Kluyveromyces lactis: one gene and its partners. The protein of the gene in region 1 interacts with the protein of each later gene in a pairwise test. Links are inferred from orthologs where the notes say so. Each region holds a gene or a part of one and is shown in the gene's direction. Other genes may lie near its edges.

Region 1 (4,132 bases):
TTTGTTCGGGATAAAACTCTCTAGTCCCGCTAGTCTCAATTGTCCAATTAAACAGTAAACCCATCTGTTAAATTGGTCCTTTGACTTCACTTGTTGTAGATGAACAGACGTCTTGTCTTGGAACCTGGAAAAGTCATCAAAGCTTTATATTCGCTGTCACACGAGTTGTTATTCTTCTTGGAATAACTAAACAACAGACTGCTTCGATATCTGTATTCCCTATCAAACACTTCGTAAGTACTTCCTCCAAATATCTCTCTCTCGGGATCTAAGTCTGAGTATGGGTTAACATTTTTATCCTCTTTTAAACTCTGTTTAGGAGCACTACCATCACTAACGATATCGAGTCTTTGTATATCTTCACAGATACCTCTTGTCGGATCATTACTTCCTTGCGGAGACTCAGTGACGCTGCCATGTAGGTGATCCTGGTTGTCGCAGTCACAGTCACGTGTAATTAATTCAAAACCTTCGGTATCAGATGAATCCATAGTGTTTACTAGCTATATATAGCTAGTGTGTTGATGCACCTGGCGATCTGTCATGACTGTGTTGATGGTCTTTCCCCAGATCTATGGCCTCTTTATATAATAACTCAGATTGGTTAATGATGTTTCATGTTGATACTTGACCGTCTATTGTTTCTAATCCGTCTCAACAGATAACCCGCCGAATGATCTAAAAAATCTGTAAAATTTGTAATAGATTTCGTGCCTCCTTAGCTTAGTGGTAGAGCGTTGCACTTGTAATGCAAAGGTCGCTAGTTCAATTCTGGCAGGTGGCATTCATCTTTTTCAATATCCAATCTGACCTTCCTCGAATCTATTTTTTTTTTCTTAAAGTAACATTGTGCACTAAAACTAGCAATACGGTACGTCTAAAACCATGTATTCCCTATATTACTACATATCGGGATAGTACCAGTTCCAGCACTTGAGTTGGACTTGGCTTTAGTCCAGTATGACTCTATGTATCTGACTATCTAACTGATTATTCAGAGAGACTGAGATTGGACACGTCGTATAAAGTGACAGACGCATCAAAATCCTTCACATCGAATTTTGGAAAAATTTGCCAGGCGATGAGCTTTAAAGGTTTAAAGAATTCGCATTTACATAGAATGAACGTACCCATAGGCAGGTTTATCACAGTGATTTTGTTTGGATTTCCCTCGTATTAGTTTGCTAGATATTAAAAGGGTAATTCTCTTCTGTTTTGGCTAGGGGAAATTGAAACCCTAGGACTCGGGCACTGGCTATCATTCTGTATTATAATCAATCCAGAGGCGCAAACGGTCAGGAACTAGTGAATTAAGTGGATATTTAGTGAACTATGGCCTCTGTGAAACGTGTAGCACCAGATGGTGAGAAGTCCAGGAATGGTAGTTTCACCAAGAAGGCGCTTGTAAAAGCTATTACTGGCTCACAGGCTGAAAATGACAGTGACAAGACTGGTTCTTCTTCTTCTGGAGAAGAAGAAGAAGAAAGAGAGGAAGAGGCTACTGCCTCTTCCAGCGGGGAAGAAGACGAGGAAGAGGAAAACACACATGACCATAAGGCTAAGAAGCCAAAGTTGAGCTCCCAGGATATACAAATAGCGAGAGAAACGGCTGAACTCTTCAAATCGAACATTTTCAAATTACAAATCGATGAGTTATTGGAACAAGTGAAGTTGAAGGACTCACACATCGTAAGGGTGGAGAAGTTTTTGCATAAACTATATGATATGATACAGGAAGTACCGGAATGGACTCCGCAAAGCTTAGAAGATGTAGAGAAATATTTCCATGGGAAAGTGGTATCAGTTCCGTTTGTGGATCCAAAACCACAAGCGAAGAACACACAGTACAAATTCAATTATTTAAAGCCGGACGTGAGTTTAATTGGATCATTCGGGTTGAAGACTGCCATCTACCAACCTCAGGGCTCCGCAGTAGACGTTTTGTTGACTATGCCTGAGCAGTTGTTCGAAAAGAAAGATTTCTTGAATTTTAGATGTTTCCACAAGCGTTCAGTATACCTCGCGTATTTGACTCATCATATCTCACTCGTCCTGAAAAGAAGCCAGCTGGATTTCTTACACTTGGAATATTCATACTTTAACAACGATCCTTTACAAACGGTATTAAAGATAAGTTGTAAGGAGAAAACTTCATCGGACTATAATTTCTACAAGACTAAATTCAGCATAAACTTGATCGTGGGGTTCCCATACAATTTCTTCGAATCAAAGAAGTTGCTACCCAATAAGAACTGTATCAGAGTCGGTCAGGATAACGAAACTCCGACACCTTTCTACAATTTCTCGGTATTATCATCTTCTTGTCACGAACACTATTTGAAGTACTTACACAAATCAAAGAAACAAACAGAACAGTTTAAACAGGCTTGTATTTTGGGGAAGCTATGGTTATCTCAGAGAGGCTTCTCATCAAATATGTCTCATTCAGATGCGTTGGGTGGTTTTGGAAATTTCGAGTTTGCCACGTTGATGGCAGCCCTACTAAATGGTGGTGGGTTGAATGGTAACAGAATTTTATTGCATGGGTTCTCATCTTACCAATTATTCAAAGGTGTAATCAAATATTTGGCCACAATGGATCTTTGTACTGATGGGTACTTACAATTCTATTCCGACTATAGCACTACTGCAACTGTCACTTCCTCAAAATACGTTGAAGAAGGTTTCCAAACACCTACAATCTTTGATAAAACCACCAAAGTTAACATACTGAGTAAAATGTCTGTTAACAGCTATCAAATGCTAAAGATCTACGCGCAAGAAAGTTTATTGATGTTGAATGACGTCGTCAGAGATCAGTTCGAAAACATGTTCTTAACTAACTTAAACAAGATCAAGACAGTGAAATATGATGCTTACTATGATTTAGATATCCCATCCATCAATTTACTACTGTCCAAGTTCGGTCCCGTTGAAAAGATTAGCTTTATATCATTCGAAAATTTCATCTGCAATAAAGTATCGAACATCGTGAAGATTGCCCTTGAGGATAGAATCAAAGCTTTTGAAGTGGCTCTAGTTAACAATAGATCTACTTTCCCAGTAACAAAGAGAAAAGTTGCTGCTGTTCCAAATTTCACTTCAATCCAAATTAAACTGTTGATCAACCCTGCAGAATGTGAGAAGCTTGTGACTAAGGGCCCAGAGAACACAGAAGAATTAACTAATGAAGCTAATGAATTCAAGATTTTTTGGGGTAAAAAAGCATCTCTTCGTAGATTCAAGGACGGTTCCATTGCAAACTGCTGTGTCTGGTCAACTTCTGCTATTGAAAGTGTTGTTTCTTCGATTTTGTCCTATGTTCTAAGGCTACATTTGACTGAAGACTGCAAACTCATCAATAATTCCACTAGCCAATTCCAACAGTTGTTACCACTACCGAACCTACCTGCATCTTCAAAGACATCAGTTCTAAACCTATCAAGCTACTATAACTTGAAGAAGTCCTTTGACGATTTGTATAAAATCATGTTCGAGCTAAAACTCCCATTATCAATTAAATCTCTTTTACCTATTGGTTCTGCATTCAGGTACACATCATTATGTCAGCCTGTCCCATACGCATATTCTAATCCTGATTTCTTACAAGACGTTGTTATCGAATTCGAAACGTCTACAAAATGGCCTGACGAAATTACTTCGTTGGAAAAGGCTAAAGCTGCATTTTTATTGAAGATTCAAGAATCCATCACGCAGACTCATAGTGAGTACAAGTGCTACTTTACACGTGATGAATCGATTCCATACAACTTGGAAATAGTTACTCTAAACATTTTGACTCCAGAAGGATACGGTTTCAAGTTTAGAGTTCTAACTGAGAGAGACGAAGTTATGTATTTGAGAGCAATTAACAACGCAAGAAAAGAACTAAGACCAGAGCTGGAAAAGACATTCTTGAAATTTACTGCCAAGTACCAAGCTGCTATTAGACATACTAGAACTTTGGAAAACATTTCCCATAGTTACCCATTCTACTCTCCAGTGGTAAGACTATTTAAGAAATGGCTAGATTCTCATCTCTTATATGGCCATTTGTCAGAAGAATTGATTGAGCTTATTGCCATTAAGCCATTTGTAGAGCCACGTCCATTCACCATGCCAGGTTCCGTTG
Region 2 (4,055 bases), on another chromosome or scaffold:
CCTTTATGGAATATGAATAGCTTGCTCAATTCACTGTCTAATGTCTCGAATGACAGCTGTGGATGGCTGTTCAAAAAGTTGTCTAATTGTTTAACAAATGGAGACTCCGAGGTCAGTTTCGTTTTTCTCACTTTTGGTCCGGAGTCTGATGAAGTAATGTTGACTTTATGAAAGAGACGGTCTCCGGATTTATGTATTCTCTGAACCCATTTTGATACATCTTTAACTGTGTCAAAACTCAATCTGGATTCCACTAGAGTAGATTCACTTGTCACTGGGTGTCTCACAAATGCTGGTAATACCGGCTTCCCATTGAAAAGTTTTGGATTCCTTTCAGTGATGCACAAAGCTGTGCGTTCGGTAGCATTAGGATATTGGTAGAATGGATGTACAATCTTGTTAGCTGCTGGAACCACGTACTCAGGTAGATGTCCCCATTCTTCATCTGCTACTTTGAATTTGTTTTTTGGAACCAGTAGCGTCTTGCCCGGTTGCAACTTATTAGCAGCTCTAGAAAGTATACTCATATCACGGGAAAAAAGATGAGAGAGTGAAATGTAGATAGTAGATGCAGTGGTTAACGTCGTAGCCACAGATAATATATAGTTTTCCCCAGATGTGATTGGTGAACGGTCCCCTATAGGTCTAACGCTGTAGGTTGAGTTTATCTACCATGCTGAAATAAAGCTTTTTTTTTCAGTTTCGAAGGTGCTTGAGAAAATACAAGTTCAACACTGTTCAAATCATCGTGGAATTACAATTAAGAGACGCAGCCCAGTAAAGAGCACCCTGTTCAAAGAATATGATACTCTTTTACTACACCGAAGACAGCATTAGTTTATATATATATATATATAAACTAATTTTCTCTTGATGGTGTTATTCCTTCTCTATGTTAAGGCAATGATGAGAATTTGTCACTGCTGATAAATGGATATCGTTCCAGTATAGTATTGAATAATAGACTAATCGTTTATTATGAGAGTTCCTCTGTAACGCTTGAAAGTGAAGCAAGAGAGTTAGGTGTGATATACATTCAGGACTTCTTGTCAGCCATCATCTTATGCCAGATGTATCAACAATATCAGTTTTTTTTTTCATTGGCAATATTGAATCGATGATGAGCTAAGAAAATTTTCAGCAGAAACGTAAATAGTAGCTATTTCCAGAGATGAGATGCGATGAGCTATGGAAAATTACAAGCTTGGTTTTGTCAAAGGTCTTTTCAGCTTTCTTGAGTTGAGATTATTGCTATTATTGCCAACCACTTGCTGTAAGGAGCTAGCAGTGAGGATCTACAGCTTCCTTATTTGTTGACCCACTCGAGTTTGATTCAACTATAGACCTATCACTCAGATGGGAAAGAAGAGTAAAGCGGTTCAAGACCGGCAGAATGGGAAGTCCATTGGAAAGAAGAAATCCAATGCAAACCCGTTAAAACGTCACGCTGGGAAGAAGACCGTAGTTACTTTTGATGACCATCAAGATGGAGATACTGGGGATTCGGATTCCGAAGCCTTGGATCATGTGTCAAATAAAGAGTTAAAGACAAGGGCACTGAGGTTATTGAAAGGGCGTGAGAGTTTACCAGTATTCCAGAATAAGGAAAAGATCGTGTCTCACATTAAAGCTAATCCAGTTACCATATTGATTGGTGAAACAGGTTCTGGTAAATCTACACAAATTCCCCAATTTTTGATGGATGAGATTTCTCCGATGCACAAAGGGGCCATAGCTGTTACTCAACCACGTAGAGTTGCAGCAATCAATCTTGCAACTCGGGTGGCGCAAGAGCACGGATGTAGAATTGGTCACGAAGTTGGTTATTCTGTTCGGTTTGATAATAAAAGTCACAAGACAAGAACTAAATTGAAATACTTGACAGATGGTATGTTAATCAGAGAATTAATGCTGGACAAGAACCTATCCAATTATAAATGCATAATCATAGATGAAGCACATGAGAGAACTATATTGACGGATTTGATTTTAGGTTTTTTGAAGGAACTTCAACTGACCAAAAGGAAAGATTTGAAAGTAATAGTAATGTCTGCCACATTACAAGCAGATCTATTCAGCAAATTCTTTTCGAACGCACCTATACTATTCGTTGAAGGCCGCAAATTCAAAGTAGACAGATATTATCTACCCAGACCTTGTGAAGATATAGTGGATAGTGTGGTACGCTGTTCAGTTCAGTTAAACAGTTCAGAAACTACAGGAGATATACTCTGTTTTTTACCGGGGCAAGAAGAGATTGATAAAGCAGTGGCCATTTTAAACAAAATCATTCCATATTTAGACGAATCTGTACCACGCATCACAGCATACCCACTTTATGCTGCATTACCACCAAAAGATCAAGCTAAAGTCTTCGAACCTTTAAAGGGATTCAAAAGAAAAATCGTATTGGCGACTAACATTGCGGAAACATCTGTTACCATTCCTGGAGTTAAATATGTGATAGACTGTGGATTAAGGAAGGTGAAAGTTTGGAGGCATCAGTTGGGGCTAGCTACGTTACTAACTGTTCCTGTTTCAAAGGCTAGTGTAGCACAAAGAGCCGGTCGTGCAGGCAGAGAAAGTTCAGGTAAATGTTTTAGATTATTTACAGAAGCTGATTACAAACAACTGCCGAAACAATCTGAGTCCGAAATTACTCGATGTGAAATTACGTCCCCTATCTTGATGTTGAAACAGTACGGCGTACAAGATATTGTAAACTGGTCGTGGCTAGAACATCCAGGGAAAGAAGCTATTATCTCGGGGCTAAAAGAATTATATGAACTTGGTGCTCTCAATGAACAGGGTCGTGTCACTGATAGAGGTCGCAAGATGGCGCTATTACCTTTAGCACCACATCTAAGTAACGTTTTGATTCATGCTCAAGAGACTCAAGTATTGCCATACGTCATAGATATAGTATCATGTCTGAGTGTTGAAAACTTGGTGTTAAACCCATTGCCTGAGGAACGAGATGAGGTCAACGAAAGAAGAAGGGCATTATGTACCCTAGGCAGTAAGCACGGTGACCTAATCATGCTAAAAGAGTTATTCGACATGTATCAATCATTACAAAGCAATTCGGAGAAACAAGAATGGTGTAAACAGTTATGTGTATCTCAGCGTGGATTCAAAAACGTGATTAAAGTCAGAGAACAGTTGACAGGGTATATGAAGAGACTGTACAATGAACCGGTAGAAATTAAAACAAAACAGGACACCCTACAACCAGAAGAAGACATTGCTACGAATCTGTTGCAGCCGCCAGACATTGCGGGTGTTTTAAAATGTTTCCTATATGGGTTTGTCAAGAACACTGCAATTGGAATGCCTGATAAATCTTTTAGAACAACGCCAACAGGGGAACCAATATCGATCCATCCGTCCTCGATGTTATTCATGAATAGTGGCGATGAAATAGGTCCATGCCCTGCGATATTATACATCGAACACGTATTCACAACAAAGGGATACGCGCGGTCTGTTTCTCGAATTGAATTGGCATGGCTGCAAGAAATTGCCTCAGGCGTTTTGAAGCAATCGACAAGATAATGAGAGAATTATTCGCGGGGTAAAGGAACTGGTCCATCAACCAAAATTTTCCCCGTACTTCTTCGCATTCGAAGTACAGTAAATGCAGGATCTAAATAGGGAACTGTATATATTAATTAATCACATCATAACGATCATATGCGAGCAAAGCACAGTTAATTGTAAATAGTGTAAAACGAAAAAAAAAAAAAAAAGAATGAAGGCACATTTGATTTTCACTGGTAATGGCCTGTGTGAGTTCTTTCTGTACGGCACTTTCAGTCAAATCTCTTCAAACAGCTCTCGAAACATAATCGAACAATAATGTGTGTCCAGATCGGAATACAGAATAAAGAAAACACCGAGGAAAGAAACGGTTTTTCCGTTTGTGGCCGTACTTCTCCAAGAATTTGTCGTGGTATTTTTTTTTTTATTTTTTTTTAGTTTTTTTTTAGTTTTTTTTTTATTTTTGCTCTTGGAATGGGATGGGAAGAGATAATTCAAGTTCTACGTAAACTCAG
Region 3 (4,101 bases), about 530 kb from region 1:
GTTCCAAATCGTTACAAAGTCAGAAACAAACAAAGATAATGACCAACTTTCGAAACTGTAAATAAAGATCTAAACACATAGATCTTAGAGTTGCATATCTCCATTTTGTTGGAGTTTCAGCTCCTCGGCTTACCTCTTCCTTTCTTTCAAGAAGGCTACAAAAACGCTGATACTATGGAGATATAGGCGTCACAGAGTTACAAGCAATACGGCAACGTTTTAATTACTCAATCCACCCACAACTAGTCCTTGTCAAACGTGTTTGCGGGGGGTTAACAATCGGAGGCTAATGGTTGTGTCAGTGACTGATACTATTTTTACTCCCAATGTACATAAAAATTCCCCTCCTTTCTTTTTCAATCTCGAGTACATGTTGCGGATTTATTAGCACATGGAAAGCTCAACCACAGGGGCAAAGGGAAAAGAGTTGAGAGGAAAAGAGTGATTAATCGAATAATCAGTTTGATGGAGCCTTTGGAAAAAGGTCAAAGTTGTAGAGATCTGGAGAACGTAAACAAAGAGATAGGCACTTATATATACAAAACAGAGATTATCAACAGGTAAACAAAGGAAACGTAAACAAATACACCTCATAGCTGCATCAGCTGCATAGAGCATGTCAGCGGCTATCGAACAAGCCTAATCATGGATATGTTATGAACGTTATCGAGGTTGGTATCTGTTCAGTTGCCCTTTTTGAGATTGCAATCTGATAAGGATTCCAGTCGAGCCAATCGGAGAAAAGACGGACATTATGGATGTCTTTGTGTCTCTATTTTTGTGTCCCAAAACATAGAGTCATAGAGACATTGCAGCGTGGTCGGATTAAAGGGACAACAAGATCCCGCCCTATTTCTTTTCTTTTTTATTCGCTTGAGGGAGGAGAGGCGGATGGGACGGCGAGGTGGATTGAGGAACACTGATGTTGTGTTTTTAAGAAAATGACTAACATCCGGGTATCCTTTCACGTGACACAAAATACCATGACGTATTGCATTATTGCTGTTACCCGGCTTTCATATCGCTTTTTTTGTGGCACACCAAAAACCAGACACAAAAACGTGTCAAAGGAGCGTGTCTGGTTATTTGCTACCCGGATACTTTGATATCCAGAGTTTATAGATTCAGTTCTTTTTTTTTTTTCTTTGGATCCATTTTTTTTATCGAATTTTCGCTGTCAAAACCTCCCTCTCTAAGGCCAGATCAAAGAAAAAAAAAATAATAAAGAGAAATAAAATATTATACTAGAAAAGGTTTTACTAAACAGCAGGTTATTTCAGAAGAGTTCGAAAAGCTTGCGGACAGAAAAGGGCTAGGGTGCAGTTTTCTATCAGGAAGAACTAAGGTAATGACTGATTCTGTAAAACCACTAGTGGATCGTATCGTTTCGCAACCGTTGGAATTCAAGAAAGCTGTTCAAGAGGACTCATATAACGTCGGTGGTGAAGGCTCTTCGTATATTATGATCTCATCGAGCACCCAGAAACAGCAGCAGGAAGCCAAAGAAGGCGATGAGCATCAGTTAGAGCATGGACATCATCAGGGTATAGCTGCTACTGCAACTGCGTCCCGTAAGGAGAAGGTGGTCAAGCCCTCATCATTTGCAGAGGCGTTGAAGATGTATACCACTAAGAAAAGTGCGGCAAACGCTGCGGAATCTAAGCCAAACAGAAGTTCGCAATTACCAATTACCGCTTCTCATGTGACTCCATCGGGGAAATTATCTATCGGTTTGAGCAATGAGCTTTTACTCAGTGATGATGACTATCATGGATCCTCGACTGAAGATGAGGAGCATCCAATCGTGTCGTTGTTGGAAAACAAAGTGACCCCAGATTCAAACGAAATGTCGGGTTCTGGGTCTTCTTCCGCTTCTTCATCATCTGCTGCAACTTCTGCTCCTGTCTCGTCGTCTGATGACGACGATGAGGATGAGGATGAGGATGAAGTGTTTCATGAGGCTAATGAATTCGTTCAACCATCGCTGGCATTAGCTGCTCCTGCTGAGCAGCCTGGAAATGTCGATGAAGATGAAGATAGTGATGACAGTTCATTCCACGCTTCTTCTGCATCAGCAGAAGACGAGGATGACGAGAATGACGAGGATGTTTCTGCAGAGGAAAAGGAAGAACTCAAATTGGAGGCTACTGAACATGCTGCTGCTTCTTCTTGTCAGTTCAAAGGAGTGTCTTCATCTTCAACTGCGGCTGCTTCTGAGAGCAAACCTGAAGAAGAGGAAAATGGCGAAGAAGAGGAAGAGGATGAAGAATTGAAGCACAAATCTCCACAACCTCTATCACCTACCCCTCCTACCACTCTTCAGGACAAGTCAAGCTTCTACCAATTTAACGAGTCGATTAATGACCATGGTTCTAATAAACCACAGAGGATAGTTAAGAATTGGGGCTCTAAGTTGACCCAGCTGAAACCAAGGGGTTTACTCAACCATGGTGTCACATGTTACACAAACGCTGCTGTGCAAGCCATGGTTCATATTCCAGCAATTCAACACTATTTATTTCAATTACTACGTGGAAATTTCAAGGACACCGTTAAGTCTAACTGTGTTTCCATGTTATTAGCGGAAACTACGATGAGAATGTGGTCTTCTGACTCAACTAAAAATACGTACATTAATCCTGATAAATTAATCAATGCGTTGGAAGACATTAACTGTATGATGAGCGCTTGGAACCAAGAGGACTCTCACGAATATTTTATGTCTTTAATGTCACGTTTACAAGAGGACTCGGTTCCTAAGGGCCATAAAATGACAGAATCCATCATTTACGATGTATTCGGTGGATTACTACAACAATCAGTTAAATGCAGTAACTGTGGTGAGATTTCAACCACTGAACAACCTATATACGATCTTTCATTGCATTTAAAGGGTAGAAAGACAACTGATCAAGATCAAAACTCTGTTGGTCAAGATAATTCAATTGATAACTCTGTTGATCAACAGCAATCTTCAAAGAGAAGGTTTTCAATTGAAAAATCTATTCGGGATTTCTTCAATCCTGAGTTAATCAAAAGAGTGGACAACAAAGAAGGGTATACATGTGAGAAATGTAAGAAAGTTACTAACGCGCTAAAGTCAAACAAGATTATTCGTGCTCCAGAGACTCTAGTGGTTCATTTAAAAAAGTTCAGATTTAATGGCACATCTTCATCCAAAATGAAGCAGGCCGTATCTTATCCAATGTTTTTAGATCTAACGGAATACTGCCATGAATCAATCAGCTCCTTACCCGTAAGATACCAACTAATTAGTGTCGTTGTGCATGAAGGGCGATCTTTATCTAGCGGTCATTATATCGCACATTGTAAGCAACCAGATGGAAGTTGGGCCACATATGACGACGAATACATCAATAAAATTTCAGAAAAACAGCTTTTGAAAGAGCCAAACGCGTACTTCTTAGTGTACACTAGACTTACACCAAAATCGGTCCCACTTTCCTCTCAATCTTCCAATAAATCTACTGATCTAGGTATTCCGCAATTGCAAAGACCTCCATCTTCACACTCATCATCGCAGAACAACTCTAAACGTAAGAATAAGAAAAAAAACAAGAAGAGAAGGATTTCCCCATAAGTTTGAATAACCCTTTCCTTAAACTACCGGCTTACAATACACTTGCATCCTTGTTCATTCTTTCTTTGTAAACAGTCATACATGCATCTACCTCACACTGACTTCAGTTCATCTTTTTTCACTTCGGTTTCAGTTCATTTGGATCATCATATACATCTTCATCTATAGTAGTTGATATATTATTATAATTTTATCTTTTCATTATTCTATTTTATGTACACGAAATGAGGTCTACAAATGCTAATAAACCAGTTGGAATGAAACTCTCCATCGAGACCTTCACTATTTCACAAATCGATGCTTTGATTAGTGAAAAAAAAGTCAGTTTATGGAACTACCTTAATACCCATACTCTTAGCAACACCGATAATAGACTTTACGATTCCTTCAAGTTCCAGAGCAGCGTGTCTTCCATCGGTCTTCTTGATCTTGGCGATCTCATATATATGTTTTAACGACAGTTCACCACATACATTATCAGGGTTACTGATATTTGGTTG
Region 4 (3,851 bases), about 400 kb from region 1:
ATCCAAAAAAGTATAATGATGACGAGGGTTTACCGCCTGCGATCCCGACAGAATATGGTGATGAGAGAATCTTGAATATGTCTTTCCAGTATAAGCTGTTGATTTTGTCAACACCCAACCTGACAGCAAACAGCAGAAGTAAATTAGCATCCCTATCCTTATGAAAAATTCTTGTGACCTCATCTTCGTATATATCTGCCGACTGAGTTGAAATTATACAATTCTTAATTCCACAAAGGGGAAACCCTTCAATCAATGTTTTTATGCTTCTGGCTGTTGCGCTTGGCCCAAACCACTGCCCAGGTTTCATTCCAGATATTTTCTCTTCTGCTTTGACAAAGTTGTGTAACGACAAAGGATATTTGACATCGTCTTGAAACCAACGGATCAGATTTAACTCATTATCATCTATTCTTGAAGCATTTATTCTGAACTCCCTGGCAAGCTTGACTCTTTGAATGGCATTCGCTAAAAGAGCCTGCCCAGTGCGTATCATACAACCCCAACCAATATCTGAATAAAAACTGTCAGGATCAGTTAAAGCATTTTCTAATGTGTTGATAGGATTATCTCTAAAAAAAAGGGTAAAATTGATAGGAGATGGTCCATTCTCATTTCTGCGGATAGGGGTAAACTGTGTGCGGTATGTGAAGAACACTCGTGAATGTACGTCAGACAAAAGTCCAGGATTTAATGAGACGATATTTATCAGGCTTTCCAAGGCCGAGTCATCTGTTTCCACATCCGTTCTTGATTTATTGTTAAGGGGAGCGTATTCTTTGCCCAATATGAACACGGTGCCATCTCGATCAACATCTTCCACTATACCTAAATGTTGTGATATCCTTGACAAGAACTCCATATTTGCATAGGGATGGCTGGGTTTGAAGATTGAGCGATACGTTTTCCTATACTTTCATGCACTTTGTACTCACTTGCTTTTTACGATGCTGATCATAATTTGCAGAAACTTATATTTCTAATATTAATGAACAATAATCTATATGAAAAATGCATTTAAAACCATGTAGAAAATAATACTTCATAACAAGAACGTAACTCTAAGGTAAGCCTGGTACACCCCTTGTTGCAGCTGCTAGGAATTTGAAGCAGTAGGTCATCGTGATAATGGCAAAGAGGCATAAACATTATAATGCCAGAGGTGGTGGGAAGTCAAAAAGCAAGAAATCCAAGCCACATGGTGAATCAAGGCAAAGAAAGAATCATAGGGGAGGTACCAGTATCAACAGGAATAGATCCGAGTTGTTACTAGGAGGTGGTGACCTGATGAATCCACATCAAGTTGAAGATTATTACTTTGGATCCACTGCAAAAAAGAGTTCATTAAGATCTGGTGGATTTAGGCCTGGAAGATTGACGGAAGCTGATGAACTCGATACTGGCAGGTTGCCATCAAGAAAACGTCCCGTGGAGTTTATCAAAGCAAAAGAACTCTATGATCCTTCTCATGACCTAATATTAAAATTGGTGAAAAAGAATCAACATTTTGACGAGCCAAACTCTGACGGTTACAACTCCTCGCAAAGCGTATCCCTGAGGGAGGAAGAGCAAGATGGTGAAGATGAACAACAAGACGTTGATACTCAGGAAATTCCAAGTAAAAACACAACTGTCAAGATACGATCTGATAATGTGGTTTCTGAAAATGGAGATTCGGAATCAAACAGTTCAGCGAACGACGCTGAATTGTTCTATGTAGATATGGAAGGAGAAGAAAAGACTGCTGATAATTATATTAAAACTGTAGATGTTGATGTACAGGAACGGTCATTAAAGCTTAATGACTGTACCGAATTTCAACCGACATTGAGGGTAGGCAATGTGGAACTTAATCTCAAAGACGGGGGGTCTGGCTCTATTGAAGTTGATAAACCAAAGAGTTCATACCATCCATTTCACAGCTATATTCAAAATGTGATGGAGAATGTACAAAATTATGACTCGGATGATGACTTTGATGAGAATGGAAATGACGTTGAACAGAGTTTTAGTATAAGTTCAGATTATGAATTTGAATCCTCGGAGGAACTAATAACAACAGGTGGTACGATCGAACAGTTTGATAGTTCAATGAAGTCGTTAACAATTGAAGAAATTCCCGGGAAAACAATCACTGCATCACTTACAACAAAAGATATATCACAAGGAAATTCTGATAATAGCTCTGGCGATGAATCATTTGGATTCTGTGAGGATGATTTTGAAGGTTCGATAGGAAAAGTGTTTGTTTCCAATATTCGAATCGGAGCTGGGACTCATTCTTATCATGTCTCATGTCATGAAATATACGGAGATAGTGAGCCTAGATGGGTAGATGATGAAATGATGAATGAAATAATTGCCGAAATGGGCTTACCTGAACACCGATTTAGAGCTTATTACAAACATCTACACAAGTCATTCATTGAAGAAGAGGAAGAGCCAGAGGAATATGCTGATATCCCCTTTGATGATGATGACAGTGATGATTCTACTGCGGATCAATGCGAACCTTTCGCCGAAGATGATCTCGGTGAAGATCTTGATGATCTCGTGTCTTACGCTCTAAAATACAATAAGCAGCGAAAAATTGAATACCATACTACTTCATTGGATATTAGGGGGAAAGGAAGAAACAAGCATTTAATATTCGATCAAACAGCAGGAATGGACGAAGACATCAAGCTCATGCTTCAAAATAAGTTTGCCACAAGACAAATAAACAAAACCAAAAAAAGAAGAGCAAAAGAAGATTTCTTGTCTCAGTCACATGCAAGCTCTACAGATCTTTTAATGAAATATCCTTACGGTCTACACATTCAAAATATAAAAGACGAATTTGATGCGTTTTACCGTAACGATCGTCAATCCATTACATTCCCACCTTTGGATCCCCACGGTAACAAAATCATCGGCAAATTTGCATACAATTATTTTATGAAGGCTTCCAATATTGGTAAAGGAAAATCGACCAAGGTTTACGTTGAGAAAACCAAAAAGACAAGGTTCAATAAACCAGCATATCACATTATCAGCCAATTACTCAGAAAACGACCTGTATTTATGAGAATAGATCAAAAAGCTCCGACTGACACACAATCCACGTTCAACCGTACTGTTCGCTTGAAAGTTTCTAAAGAAAACTTCAATATTAGTGAAGGGCAAATTGTGGGTGAAGATGCACCAGAAATTGGGATTGACAATATTGGAAGAAGAATGCTTGAAAAGCTAGGATGGAATATCGGACAAGGGCTCGGTGCCCACGGTAATCAAGGAATTAACGAACCAATCTTGGCCAAGGTGAAGAAGAACAAATCAGGTTTACGCCATACCTCTGAAAATCAACAATGACGGTAAAATACTGCATTGTCTTGTTCGACAACGCTGTTGAAAGACTGTGTTTCTTGATAAGTGTATAACTACATATACATATAGAGTATAATTGAATGCCCTTGGCCAGTATGGTCTATTTTTTTAACAATATCTAGAAAAGCGTGCACGTATGCCGTATCTTCAAAAGTTATGTTCGGTGAAAACCCTGGGAGCGTTTTGTCCGATCCCAAAAACTAATTTTTAGATTGATGTCGTTTTATTATATTAACCACAAACACGATTTTTAACAATGCCATGATAAAAGTACCAAAAAAATAAAACGTAAACAAACATAGATGAGCAGCAATCGATATTAATAAAAGATTGCTTGAAAACTAGAGCAGTTCGTCGAATATTAAGCACAGCCACATACTGAGACATTGAGTCCGCAATGCTTTCTCCAACAGGAAAAAGAAGAGGATCTTTCATTGGAAACCAAACAGACGCCAAACAAGAAGAAAAGTTTGATTATACAGATA
Region 5 (4,095 bases), on another chromosome or scaffold:
AATATTTCTTGGATACTTATCGGTACGCTTTTAGTGAAATTCTTCACTGAGTTCCACAAAGGATTTAGAATCCATTTACATTGGTCCATCATTTTAATATATTTATGGTTCCGAGGCGTGTGTTCTACTATCTGACTCCAGATGGCGCGATAATTTTTAGTCATGAGTTCCAAAAGATTATCCTTCTTGGGCAAATTAGCCTGATGGATTTTCCATGTTTCCTTAACGATATCGAATATTTCGTCCATGGCATTCATCGCCATCTTAGGACTTATTTCGTAAACATTGCGAACCATATAAGCAAAAAACAACGAGCTTTCCATCACTGACCCTGATCCGTTTATACCATATAATCCGATACCACAAACAATTGAGAATGTGAACCCAAGTAGTGAAGCACTTGGTGTGGAGAGTTCCCACATTGGAGTGACATATATTCTGTAAAAGTAAAATAGTGATAGCGTAATAATTCCCCCACTGATCAACAAACTCAGAATAACCCATTGATTACTTCTTCTAGACATCTTGAGCCATCTCTCTGTCTCCCCTATGGCTTGAATGGCGAGAATGGTGAAAACACCCTCCAGTAGAGTGAACACTGGAGTCGAATGTATCAATGATAGCTGCCATGGCTTCACCATCACATTCCAAAATACTTTGAAGTACTCGGAATCGACAGTATCAGAGTCGATGTTTTCAAAGTATGACAAAAACATGAATAAAATTGAAGGAATGAGAAGATGCTGCAAATAATAAATCAGGGTTGACAACGCTGATCCGCGGTCCAGTAATACTAGCTTGAAAGTCGTTGAAACAAAATACAGAGCAAATAACGTTACAGTAAATGACAATCCACAGTTCAGCCCACCAACTTGGAAACTTATCGGAATGGTAATCAGCACGAGAAATAGATACATTGTCGTGAGAAATATCCGCAGAGTTTGAAGCACACTCTTCTTTATTAGTGGCATCTTGGAAACGTTGAATTTTGCACAGTGACGGGCTATTGTTGATGGCTCAAGCCTTCTTTCTTGACTCCTTCGTCTTCTGGTTTGCTTGAAGATTTCCATCGTAATTCTATGTAACATTATTTTTTTTGTTTGTATTATATAAGTTTATGAAAACAGTCAGTTTACAGGCGCAGTAGTAAAAGGAATGGAACGTACCAAAAAGGTAAACAGTATGACGAGCACACTACTTTGAACTTGTTTAATCGCTTCTCAAGGTAGACGTAATCTTTGAGGTGTTTCAGGTCTGCTGTGACATGACTTTACGGTAGGAAGGGGTCGACACTTCTTTTCAAGTACCTGGACCTGATGAGATCATTAAACACGGATGAAAAATTGAGCATCTAAGATTATAAGATGCGATGAGATGACATGAGATGAGCAGTATATTAAATTGACATCATATTAATTGTATTTGGTTATTGCTGGAGTAGTAGAAAAGTGTCATTTATTTGGTAAAGGAATCCTCAAACATGAGTAAAATCAGAGCTGGTCCAAAATCTGGTAGAAAACAGTTGAGAGAGATCACTAGAGCTGGTCAGAAAAGAGTAAGATATGATGACGAAGCAACGGTAGCAGACTTAACCCCTGATAATGAAAGTGATTCTGATAATGCAGAGCCATCTGTTGCAGCTGAAAGAGAAGATGTTGAGCAACATAGAGGACAAGCTTATAATGCGTTGTTAACTTTATTAAAGTCAGAACATCCAGAAAGGAAACACAAATCAAATAAGAAGATCAAGAAAGATTCCCAACGCGCTGAGGAAGACAGTCCTGAAAACGATGGAATTAATAGTGAAGATGAACAACAAAATATTGAAAATGCTTTGGATGATGTTTCTGGAGGAGTTGTGGATGAGGAAGATATGGAAGATTCATTATCTGACGTTGATGAGAGCGAAGATGAATCCGATCCATTCGAATCACATTTCAGCAAATATAGTGAATCACGCTTATATGCTTTCGATAAAGGCTTCAAAGACAAGACTGTCAAATACAAATCTTCGAAAACAGATGTTTCGGAAGAAGAATCTCTAATATATTCCAAACCGTGTCTAGATGATGAGGAAGTTTTGCCTGTGAAGGGGAAACAAACTTTGAGCTCATATTTCATCAAACAGAAGTTGAAATTAGCAAACGATTTCCAAAACAATGGCTTACCGTTAACTGAAATTCAAAAGGAACTTGTAGATCCAATGTTTCAGTATAAAGATATGTTATACGAATACGATGATTATGCTGATGAAGATCAATACAGAGATCTGTATTCTTTACATGCGCTCAACCACGTCTATAAGACCAGGGATCGTATTTTGAAAAATAATCAAAAATTACAGGAAAACAATGATGAAGAGCTATTGGATCAAGGTTTTACACGTCCGAAAGTACTTATTGTAGTACCAACAAGAGATGCTGCTCACAAAATTGTCCGGAAAATTATGGAGAAATCAGGGCTTGATCAATTCGATAAGAAATCGAAATTTGAGGATCAGTTCTTCGAAGATTCGTTACCTCCTACTTCAAAACCTAAATCCTTTCAGCATATTTTCCAGGGTAACACAAATGATTTCTTCGTATTGGGTCTCAAGTTCACTAGAAAATCCCTAAAGATATACTCAAACTTTTATCAGTCCGATATCATTATATGCTCTCCGTTAGGGATTCAATTAATTCTTGAAAACACTGATAAGAAGAAAAGACAGGATGATTTCTTGTCGAGCATTGAAGTCATGATCATAGATCAATTGCATTCCATTGAATATCAAAACGCCATGCATGTGACAACAATTTTTCAGCATATCAATAAAATTCCGGAACAGCAACGGGAAGCAGATTTCAGTCGAATCAGAATGTGGTATATTAACGAACAGGCAAAATTCTTCCGCCAAACAATAGTCTTCACTAAATACATATCACCGTTTGCCAACTCAATCTTGAATGGGAAGTGTCGTAATCTTGCTGGAAGATGGAAAAATCATAGGAAGATAAAACCTGAACAATCAAGCATTGGTCAATTAGGACTAAAGGTTAGACAAATATTCCAAAGATTTGATTTAGCAGGAGGGACAGCTCTAGATGAACCTGATTACAGGTTTAAATTTTTTACGAGTGTCATCGTTCCGTCTATTGTGAAATCTACTGGGTACGAGGATGGTATATTATTATACATTCCTGATTATACCGATTTCATCCGTGTTAGAAACTATTTGAAAGAAAAAACTACAATCATATTCGGAGAAATCAACGAGTACTCTAACCAGAAACAATTGACATCCAATAGAGCAAGATTCCAACACGGAAAGGTGAAGGTCTTGTTATACACAGAAAGATTGCACCACTTTAGAAGGTACGAAATAAAAAACGTCAAGAGTGTAATTTTCTACAAGCCTCCGGGAAATCCTGAATTCTATTCTGAAGTTGTTCGCAATATTGGTAAGAACGTATTTTTAGGCAACTGTGATATCAACATTTCAACTGTCAGATGCATATATAGTAAGATGGACGGTCTTTCTCTAGAGAGAGTCGTAGGATCTAAACGCGCGGCAGTATTGGCTCATGGCCAAAACGAAGTGTACGAGTTTAAATAGAGTGGATCAAATATGCCATAAATAATTAGTAAACCGAAAACTTACGCAATCGTTCTCCTTTACTAATAGCTTAGAGTATTAAAATATGTTGCACTTTTCAACTTCTTTGTTTGTTGTAGAATTTTGAAACTCAAAGTCAGATTCAAAGAGTACATATTAATTCTTAATTATTTGATGCAAAGAGACAAGCCCGCAAACGAATCCAATAGCCGCCCGATAATAGATTAAACTAATTTTATACTTAAAATATAATTCTATAGACCTCAGAGCCGGTCAAACTTGCTAATGAGAGCTTTCACCTATAGCAATTGTGACTTATCTTTATCTTTTCCCTTGGGTTTATCAACTGTTGAATTGCGAAACTGCCATGGCAATGCAAGCTAAAGACACATAAGGACTAGCTCTTTCCCCAATTCTCGCAAACTTCCAAAATACTCCTAGTATACCGCTGTCCTTATAACGATCAAGGAGCGATGGTCTTTGTGCATGAATATATGTGC
Region 6 (4,211 bases), on another chromosome or scaffold:
AGATCAAACCCGATGGTAGGAGTTTCTTCTCGAGAGTTCCCATGAGGGGCAACCCAAACGTCGACAGGTGTATCAGACATGTATTTGCTCCGAATTGTACTGGATCAGGGCATATAGTGGTGAACTCGAAAAAGATAAAATTTCACTCAGTACCTATGGTCCTCATCACTGCATTGCAAGGCCTTAAACCTAACAGCGCTGCCAAATCGTGGAATTTCGCTGCTTTCATGTCACCTAGACGGACAATTTTATGTATGGAGTTTACAACGCCAAAAGAATACGGTGAACAAACAGTGACCATATCGTCGGACACAAACAAGATAACCTCATCACAGCGCATATATTGCGGTATACAGGATAAACATAAGCATGTGAAACATTTTGGGCTAACACTGGATCCCAAGACCGGAGTAGAGTATCCAAACATCGTAGAGATTCCGTTACCCAAAAAAGACGGTGAACTATGCCCCACGTTACTATTGGGGCCCTTAAATCTAATCAATGTGTACGATATATTACAAGAGATGCCCACGGTATTGAAAGGCATTGTGGAAAAGGTGGAAGGAATCAACCCATATCTATATCAGTTCTGTCAAAGAACCGAGGTAGATGACGAACGTGCAATATCACTTGTAGAAACAACATTTATAAGTCCATAGATCCAATTCAGATAAATTTAAAAAATGATTAACAGAGTGAATAGATGCGAGTCGTCATTAATCCCAGACATCTGATCTCCCATATCCAAGAGTCAAACGTCAAACGTCAAACGTCAAATTACGTATCTTGGCAATCTTCAAACACAGCAGAACATTACCCGGTACAACAAAAGAAATTTTTTTCCTCATTATCTTCTCAACCAATTTTCATAGGAAAACAGAGAAATAAAAAGTAAACTTAGAGCTCATCTCAAGAAATTGGGACTAGAATAAAATAGTGTGTAAAAAAAGCAGAGAATAACCTTGTTTCTGTCTTTGTCTCTGTCTTTGATCAAATCAGAGTTTCTCCTACCAACGCTGGCTGTAAAGATAGTGGAAAATTTTACGTATCTAGGTTAGAAGTGCAGTAAGATCAGGAATATTCAGGAATAGATTTCCCTGCTCTTCGGTTTTTTTTTTTTTGGTTTCATTCTACTAGTCGTTTATCTGCGAAGAGAAAGGATAAGGAATAAGGAATAAAGATTTGAATTGTGTGTGATCCCAGGACACTTACTGTTGATTAGCTAGTTATTAAAGATTGTGTTGAACTGGATAAAACGTTTTATAACCTAGAAATTTTTTTTTTCTTTTGGTTTTCTTTTTATTAAATTGTTGAGCCTATTGATTTGATCCAGGTGCATATAGAAAAGTCCACTAAAGAGTAGAATACCATTATTGCAGCTGCTAATTGCAACTGATAACACATATATATTATGTCAGGTAAAAGCCCGAGGAAGTTAACTAGTGGGAAGAAGCCTACGACTCTGAAAGCGTTACAGGATAAAATGGGAAATAAGAAGGATAAGCCTCCGCATTTAAGTTCTAGACCGAGACGTTTCAGTCTAATATATTCTAGTGATTCGTCGCTGAGTGATATACCACAGGATTCGAACAGCAGGGGCTCGAATTTGTCCAAGTTACCGTTATATAAGAATCCCAAAGCCGGAACTAAGCTAAAAGGTCGATCTTCGAATGCGATGGGTAAGAACGGAAAGCTGATATCAACGAATCAGGACTCAGCCATCACATCAGGTTCGGACAGTGCTACAGCGTCTTCAGACTACCAGTCTCTCTCGGAGGATGAAGGAGGTACAATGGCAGTAGATGATGACGATGATGATGATGATGATGATGATGATGATGATGACGATGACGATGATGACGATGATGATAGCGACAGTTCGAGTACTAGTTCAGACGATGACGTGGATTTTGTGAGACTTACTGCGGAACGTAAGAAAAACGCAATGAAACAGCTGAACGCTTTGAAGAGGGGCAAGACACCTGCAGAAACTGTCGTCAGTAACAGCAACAATAAAGGTAATAGTAAACAGGGTGGATTTCCTAATAGGGCTCAGCAGAATCGTGAAGCTTCGGATTCGAATGATGAGGACATTTCAAGCTCTGAACTATCAGATGCTCCTGAACTGTCATTCAATTTCAAAGGCGACGATGGGATCAAGTTCGGTGATGCTTCAGTAGCCTCCAAGAAGGCTGATGAAGATTTAGGTGAGGAAGTCAAGGATAAAGATGTGAAACAACCTTTAGATTCCATTAAACCAAATGTCGATAGATTGGCGGTACCGAAATTTTCAGATAGTGAGGATTCAGATTATAATATCGATCAAGAGGCATATTTCAAGACCATTGATGATGATAACGAAAATATTACCGGTATAGATAACGGCCTTGAGACTGGTGATGACGATATGGCTATTCTGGATGTTGAAGAACAGAATATGGTTAAACAGCTTGAACGTGATGATCATTCTTCTTTCGATGATTCGCAGGTGGAATCAAAGTATAGAGATGGGAAACCCAGAAATGACGACGATGATTACGAATACGACGAGGACGATGAAGATGATGCAATCATGAGTGATTTCGATATGCCCTTTTATGAAGATCCCAAGTTTTCCAATCTGTATTACTATGATGGCAGCGACCAACCCTTAACTTTAAGCACATCTTTACCGTTAGTGTTAAGCGAAGAGAAGCGTAAGAGGGAAGAGCGTAAGCAATTAAAACAGCGGGAAAGGCAGGAGAGGTTGAAAAGAAGAATGACTTCCAAGAAGTCTAAACGTGAACATTCTGCTACTCCAGATCTTGCAGAAGATGAGTACGTATTTGGGTTATTTTTCCAAAGCGATGACGAGAAACCTAAAGTTACCAATGACCTTGAATCTCCTTTGCGTAGGCTCAGTACCGTGGCAGTATCTGATAAAGAGCTTTCATCTGGAGATGAAGAGTACGAAGATATTCTATTAGATATCGCCCACCTCCCTACAGATGAAGAGGATGAAAATGGCTTGGAGCTAGACGAAGTCGAAAACTCAGATGGTGAAGATGACTTTGAAGAAGATGATGACGATATGAGTGTCACCAACGTTTTCATTGATATTGATGATCTCGATCCAGATGGCTTCTACTTTCATTACGATTCGTTATCAGATGAGGAAGCTGGAGAAGCTAAGAGCTATCCTGACACTCCAGATGACCATGTGGAAGGTGTCATCTTTGTAGATGACGAATCCACTGATGAAGATGACACTTTACCACCTCCAAATACAAGACGCAAAATTGGGACTAAGGCAAAAGAAGTCGTTAGTGCCAACGTTGTTGGTTTGAAGCCTCCGAAACTTGGAACTTGGCAGACAGATAACAAGCCCTTTAGTATCATTGATGGCCTTTCCACTAAATCTTTGTATCCTGCTATTCCGCCAGTTCAACAAATTTTAGATCCAAGAATTGAAGTCGAAGACGTTTCATCACATAATGGTATCGGATCAGGAGGCGAAAAAGAGGAACTAACCCTTAACGAATTGTTGAATATGAGTGAGCTTGAAGATGAAAACAATGAAGATGGCGCTGACTCGAATTCTAAGAATAAAGAGATTGCCACCTGGTATCACAAACCATCTGTTCCATTATCTGCTTTCAGAAATAAAGGCATCAACTTCGAACATCAAGAAGACGAATACATGCTTCCTGTGTTTTCAGCACGCAAGTTCCCAATTGGTTACGTTGGTAGTGAAAGGACTAGAAGGAAGATCGATAAGATGAAGGAATACCAAAGAAAGAAAGATGAAAAGCGACGGAAGATAAAGAAGAAAAAGAAGCTCTTGAAAATCAGAAGGGAAAGGCAAAGAATTGAAAAGCAAAAATTGCTCACTGCTCCTGAACAAGAAACTGAAACTGAACCCAACGCAGATTCTCACAACAACATTCAAACTCCCTCTAGCGTGAATTTGGCTAGTCCAAGTTCAAGTGTTTTCACCGATGCAGATGCTGGAAACACACCTAATGATTTCAACGGTCTGGTTTTACCAACGAGGAAGAATTCTGTGAAGGGATTAGGAATGGATGAAATTGATCAACTGCTGAAATCTGATGATGATTTAATACTTTCTCATCATGGAGATGAAGATGGAGATATTGATCTATTAGGCAGTGACGATGCAGATCTCCTGGTTTCTCTGACTGCCCCGATTGAAGAAATTGATTTTAACCATG
Region 7 (4,206 bases), on another chromosome or scaffold:
ACATACGCATCTATCGGTGGTGGAGGGTCGGCTTTACTGTTCACGTGGAATATCCCATCACGATCGTAGTAACCCAAATCGTTTTCATTTGCTTCTTCTGTGTACGGAGGCACGTAATCTGCCAATGGGACATCTGATCTATTTCTTACAGCTTCTGATTGTCGGTATGTGGGCGGAGTGAGCCATGACACGTATCGAAGTGGTTGTTGTCCGTTACGCCTTCTTATATAGTTTATTCTTATCGTAGTGATGACAAATGCCAGTAAGATGAACATGAATATAACGAATATTACCCACCGTGCCCATTCCCAGTGGGAGGAACACGAGAGACCCCAGCAGTTGTTATCAATATCAGCAGATGTAGTGGTAGCACTTTGAACAGCGCTGACAACACTGGATGGCGTAGATGTAGTTGTGGTTGACATAGCAGGCGAAGTAAGAGCAATATTAGAACCCGGAAAAGATATACTTCCCTTGTTTATTCAATTAGTAAGTTCAGGAGTCCTGCTCTTGGTGTTGGGTTAGCCCTCTTTGTTTTCCGATCCTTTTGATCGAAGGTCTTGTATATCAACAGACAAAAAAGGGGACGAGAAGCGACTTGTAACAAAAAATCCAGTGGGAAATCCTCCTTTCAGCGATAGCTTCGTGTGCAGGTTGGATTTCAAACTCCTATCGACTGCCCTCTGGAGTCCTGCTGGCATATCCTTGTTGCAGCAAGAGTAGCGAGGAAATCTGATCGCGAATCATGACAAATTTCATTTAAAAACGACTATTCCCCATATGCAAATATATATCAGTATATATAATATATCAAGAGACCGATGGAGAGAAATACTGGAAATTTAAGAGAAAGGATATACCTATTTTACCACGAATGTCCAGAAAATGTTGCAGAGCCTCAAATATAACCAAGTTGAGTTCCAAAATCAGCACTACTTCTGCGCTACATAATGTTTACCAATTTTTGTATAATGAGACGATGGAGTTTCTTATTAGTTGAAGTTCTATCATTACCTCGCGATTCTAGGTTGGATACTCTCAACTTATATATTGTAGCGGTTCTACTATTAGTACTCCCACAACTATCGTACCTTCCTGGCCCGTTAAAAACACCTCATAAATGATCAGTGCTGGCGGTCAGTCCTGTGGCCGTAGTCGTCCTCCAGATCGGCCCTGCGTAAAAAGAAACTGGATTTCTTCACGTTCCATTCTAGGTAAAGGGAAAATTTTCAGAATTTGGAAAAGCATGAAAACTCATCTCATCTCATCTCATCGCATAAACAACAAACACAAGAGGGTCTACACACAGTAACTGTCAATCACCAGTCATACAAGACCTGCTTCAGTACATTGATATAACATTGAGGACTAGTCTTGTTCTGTTTCCCATTTTAAAATAATCAACCATGGGTAAGCAAAAGACTACAACGAAATCTACCAAGAGGTATAGATACTCATCTTTCAAGGATAAGATTGATGATTTGAAGATTGAACCTGCTAGAAATTTGGATAGAAGGGTTCATGATGATGTAGAGACCTCCCATTTTCTATCCTCTTTTGAACACTGGAAGGATATCAATTTGAGTGGGAATTTCGGATCCTTTATGGATTCGGTAGAGAAATTGGTTCAAACTTTGCCTCAACTTTTGTACCATGAGGATGAAATCTTTGCGAATTTGGAGCAATATATAGATAAACACGATGAGAGATCTTTACAGCCGTTGTGTGATCTCTTGGCTCAGTTCTGTCATGATTTGGGACCTGATTTCATGAAATTTTATGAAAGGGCGGTTACATGTTTGATTAACTTATTGGAAGCTGCCACTGAATTTGAAAACTCAAACGTGTTCGAATGGGGGTTCAATTGTTTGGCATACATTTTCAAGTATTTGTCACGTAGTTTGACTCAGAATTTGACGCCCACTTTCGACCTCTTATTTCCGTTATTGTCACATAAGAAAGAATACCTCTCCAGATTCTCCGCTGAGGCTCTATCGTTTCTAATAAGGAAATCTCCACAGAAACATTTGGCCACTTTTGTCACATTTTCGTTCCAAAAATTGTGCTTGTTAAAGAATGATAATTTTTATGACGGTTTGCAAACTTTATTTGGTGAATCATTGAAGAGTACTTCCGAGGCATTGCATTCAAGATCAAATATAATATTCCAAACTCTTCTGCAAATCGCATTCGAGAAAAATTCAGACATAGTATGTGTCTCTTTACTTTGTGACATCATTCTAGATATCACTAGACACACTTCTGCGGAGAATATTCAGAGTTTATACGATTTGATCCTTGAATTCTTGGACGAGAATTTGAACGGATCTAGTGCTGCTGTTGGTAAAACGTTGAGAATGTTATCTACGCTATCGTTTGCCGAGAGTGGTAGAAAAGTACCAAGTTGGGAAAAGTTATCTGGTGTTCTACGTAAAGCCACTCAACATGATAGTCTAAATGAATCACATGCAGATCTAGTGTCGTTTACATTTGCCATCGTCTTACGTAATGCTGACGTTAAAACGCTAACTTCTCTGCATAAATACATGTTCGAACTCTACTTGACGAAATTCTCAGCTCATTTCATTGAATTCTTCAAGATTTCTATGGATATCGATAAGGGTAAAGTGCTTTCTTTCAACGGGTTGAAATACTTGCAGAAATACGTTAATAACTGCTGGGCAGATGGTGCTCAGAAGATTGCATTGTTCCTTTTAGAATCGGAATCTTCACAAGATTTGGACTTGGTAAATCATCTCTCTGCACCGGAATTCGCAACCCAGTTGTTGAAGGATATCAGCGATGCTAATGTAAACGATGAACAGGAAATTTTTTCTGTGTATTGGAAACTTATAATATTAAAGACATTGAAACAAGAGGATGAGGAAATCATTATGCATTTGCTAGAGAGGGTTTTCCAAAAGGATGTGTTATCGGATTTTGAAAAGGATTTTGTTGGTTTCCTACTTCAAGCATTAACATTTAAAATCACTTCATCTGAGTCGGTCATGGCTGCAAAATTATTGAATATTCTAGTTCCGAGAATTATAGAGCTACAGAACAGTAGATATTTTATTGAAGGTATTTCACATGTTTTATCATATTTGGAGGACGACACTGATATTTTGAAATCTTTATCAAAGATTTTACCCATATTAACAGATAATCTATTACTTCCGGACAAAACCATCCGTTACGAAACCCTTAAGTTTATAATATCTGTTCTAGAAAAGCAAGGCAACTCAGTTCCCCAATTATTTTATGATCTAAGGATTTTGGAAGAAATCCCTCTGGATCTTCATACAAGCCGTGACATTACTCTCAGAGTAAGGAAACTAGGTGCAGACTTTGCCAAGATGGAAGCTGAGGATTTATTGACTAATGTCTTTTTCAAACATATGTTTGGGCTTCTAACTGTCAGATTCTCTCCAATTTGGGAAGCTATCTATGAAATAATTCCAGAAGTTTACACCAAAAACCAATCCCTTGTGTGGAGTTTGGCTATGCGTTTCCTCACTGTTCTTGATGAAACAAAGGACGTCAAATATTATAGCATTTCCAATAACATTGACCTTCAAGAACCATTCTGGACCGTTAGTATCAATAGAATGAATGACTCCATCCTTGCTTCTGACAAAGTATTTAAAAAATACTCTGCTAGCGATTCAACTATATTGGATGTTTTGGAGGAAAGAAGGAATTCTATGGTATATCCATCATTGATTAGAAGTCAGATATTCAAAGTTTTATTGTCGATTCCTAGTTTGGCAGAGCGTCATTCAAGGGACATAGTTCCTTTTTTATTTAATGAAGAAGAATCTGAAGAAATTTTTATCACAGAAGATCAACCAAGTATGGATGTACTAATTCCAACAGCATCACAATGGACTGAAAGTGATAGAAACCTTTTATTAAAGCTCGTTGGCAAATTCAAAAATATCAAATCCATTTACAAATCAGAGGAAGTGCACGATAGGTTAATGGCACTTTTGAGCAGCAGAACTACAGAAGTTCAAAAATTAGCTTTAGATGCGTTGTTTTGTTACAAGGAATCTCATATAACCAAGTACAGAGAAAACTTGAAGAACTTATTGGATGACACTTTATTTAAAGATGAAATTACCAAGTTTTTAGCAACCGATGACACCAAAACTATCCAAAAGCAAGATGAAGAAGCTGTTATGGGTTATATTGTGAGAATTCTCT

Evidence for each region.
Region 2: the proteins of UTP22 (region 1) and DHR2 interact in binary tests that used the Saccharomyces cerevisiae proteins (3 or more experiments, as listed by UniProt). The link is inferred for Kluyveromyces lactis from reciprocal best matches to the Saccharomyces cerevisiae genes UTP22 and DHR2.
Region 3: the proteins of UTP22 (region 1) and UBP10 interact in a two-hybrid assay, tested with the Saccharomyces cerevisiae proteins (2 studies listed by BioGRID). The link is inferred for Kluyveromyces lactis from reciprocal best matches to the Saccharomyces cerevisiae genes UTP22 and UBP10.
Region 4: the proteins of UTP22 (region 1) and SQS1 interact in binary tests that used the Saccharomyces cerevisiae proteins (3 or more experiments, as listed by UniProt). The link is inferred for Kluyveromyces lactis from reciprocal best matches to the Saccharomyces cerevisiae genes UTP22 and SQS1.
Region 5: the proteins of UTP22 (region 1) and UTP25 interact in binary tests that used the Saccharomyces cerevisiae proteins (3 or more experiments, as listed by UniProt). The link is inferred for Kluyveromyces lactis from reciprocal best matches to the Saccharomyces cerevisiae genes UTP22 and UTP25.
Region 6: the proteins of UTP22 (region 1) and KLLA0_F13222g interact in binary tests that used the Saccharomyces cerevisiae proteins (3 or more experiments, as listed by UniProt). The link is inferred for Kluyveromyces lactis from reciprocal best matches to the Saccharomyces cerevisiae genes UTP22 and IFH1.
Region 7: the proteins of UTP22 (region 1) and UTP20 interact in binary tests that used the Saccharomyces cerevisiae proteins (3 or more experiments, as listed by UniProt). The link is inferred for Kluyveromyces lactis from reciprocal best matches to the Saccharomyces cerevisiae genes UTP22 and UTP20.

Annotation. Positions count from the first base shown.
Region 1 is NC_006040.1:1,246,659-1,250,790, forward strand, and holds the start of UTP22 (rRNA-processing protein UTP22), read left to right. Parts: upstream 1-1,332; coding exon 1,333-4,132. Other genes in the region: KLLA0_D14762g (uncharacterized protein), read right to left, coding at 87-491. UniProt on the Saccharomyces cerevisiae protein: Involved in nucleolar processing of pre-18S ribosomal RNA and ribosome assembly.
Region 2 is NC_006042.1:2,427,004-2,431,058, forward strand, and holds DHR2 (RNA helicase), read left to right. Parts: upstream 1-1,356; coding exon 1,357-3,555; downstream 3,556-4,055. Other genes in the region: AEP1 (Aep1p), read right to left, coding at 1-527. UniProt on the Saccharomyces cerevisiae protein: Probable ATP-binding RNA helicase. Required for 18S rRNA synthesis.
Region 3 is NC_006040.1:717,546-721,646, reverse strand, and holds UBP10 (ubiquitin-specific protease UBP10), read left to right. Parts: upstream 1-1,348; coding exon 1,349-3,601; downstream 3,602-4,101. Other genes in the region: MRPL19 (mitochondrial 54S ribosomal protein uL11m), read right to left, coding at 3,928-4,101. UniProt on the Saccharomyces cerevisiae protein: Deubiquitinating enzyme involved in telomere and HM loci silencing, which is the repression of chromatin structure which leads to a stop in the transcription of nearby genes.
Region 4 is NC_006040.1:1,646,821-1,650,671, forward strand, and holds SQS1 (Sqs1p), read left to right. Parts: upstream 1-1,128; coding exon 1,129-3,351; downstream 3,352-3,851. Other genes in the region: cysteine protease ATG4, read right to left, coding at 1-862; CNM67 (Cnm67p), read left to right, coding at 3,764-3,851.
Region 5 is NC_006041.1:740,586-744,680, forward strand, and holds UTP25 (rRNA-binding ribosome biosynthesis protein UTP25), read left to right. Parts: upstream 1-1,480; coding exon 1,481-3,595; downstream 3,596-4,095. Other genes in the region: ICE2 (Ice2p), read right to left, coding at 1-1,088; KSH1 (Ksh1p), read right to left, coding at 3,938-4,095. UniProt on the Saccharomyces cerevisiae protein: DEAD-box RNA helicase-like protein required for pre-18S rRNA processing, specifically at sites A0, A1, and A2.
Region 6 is NC_006042.1:1,219,268-1,223,478, forward strand, and holds the start of KLLA0_F13222g (uncharacterized protein), read left to right. Parts: upstream 1-1,411; coding exon 1,412-4,211. Other genes in the region: KLLA0_F13200g (survival factor 1 family protein), read left to right, coding at 1-659. UniProt on the Saccharomyces cerevisiae protein: Transcriptional coactivator that together with FHL1 regulates the expression of rRNA and ribosomal protein genes. Its activity is negatively regulated by environmental stress.
Region 7 is NC_006041.1:1,547,840-1,552,045, reverse strand, and holds the start of UTP20 (Utp20p), read left to right. Parts: upstream 1-1,406; coding exon 1,407-4,206. Other genes in the region: KLLA0_E17447g (resistance to Congo red protein), read right to left, coding at 1-425. UniProt on the Saccharomyces cerevisiae protein: Involved in nucleolar processing of pre-18S ribosomal RNA and ribosome assembly.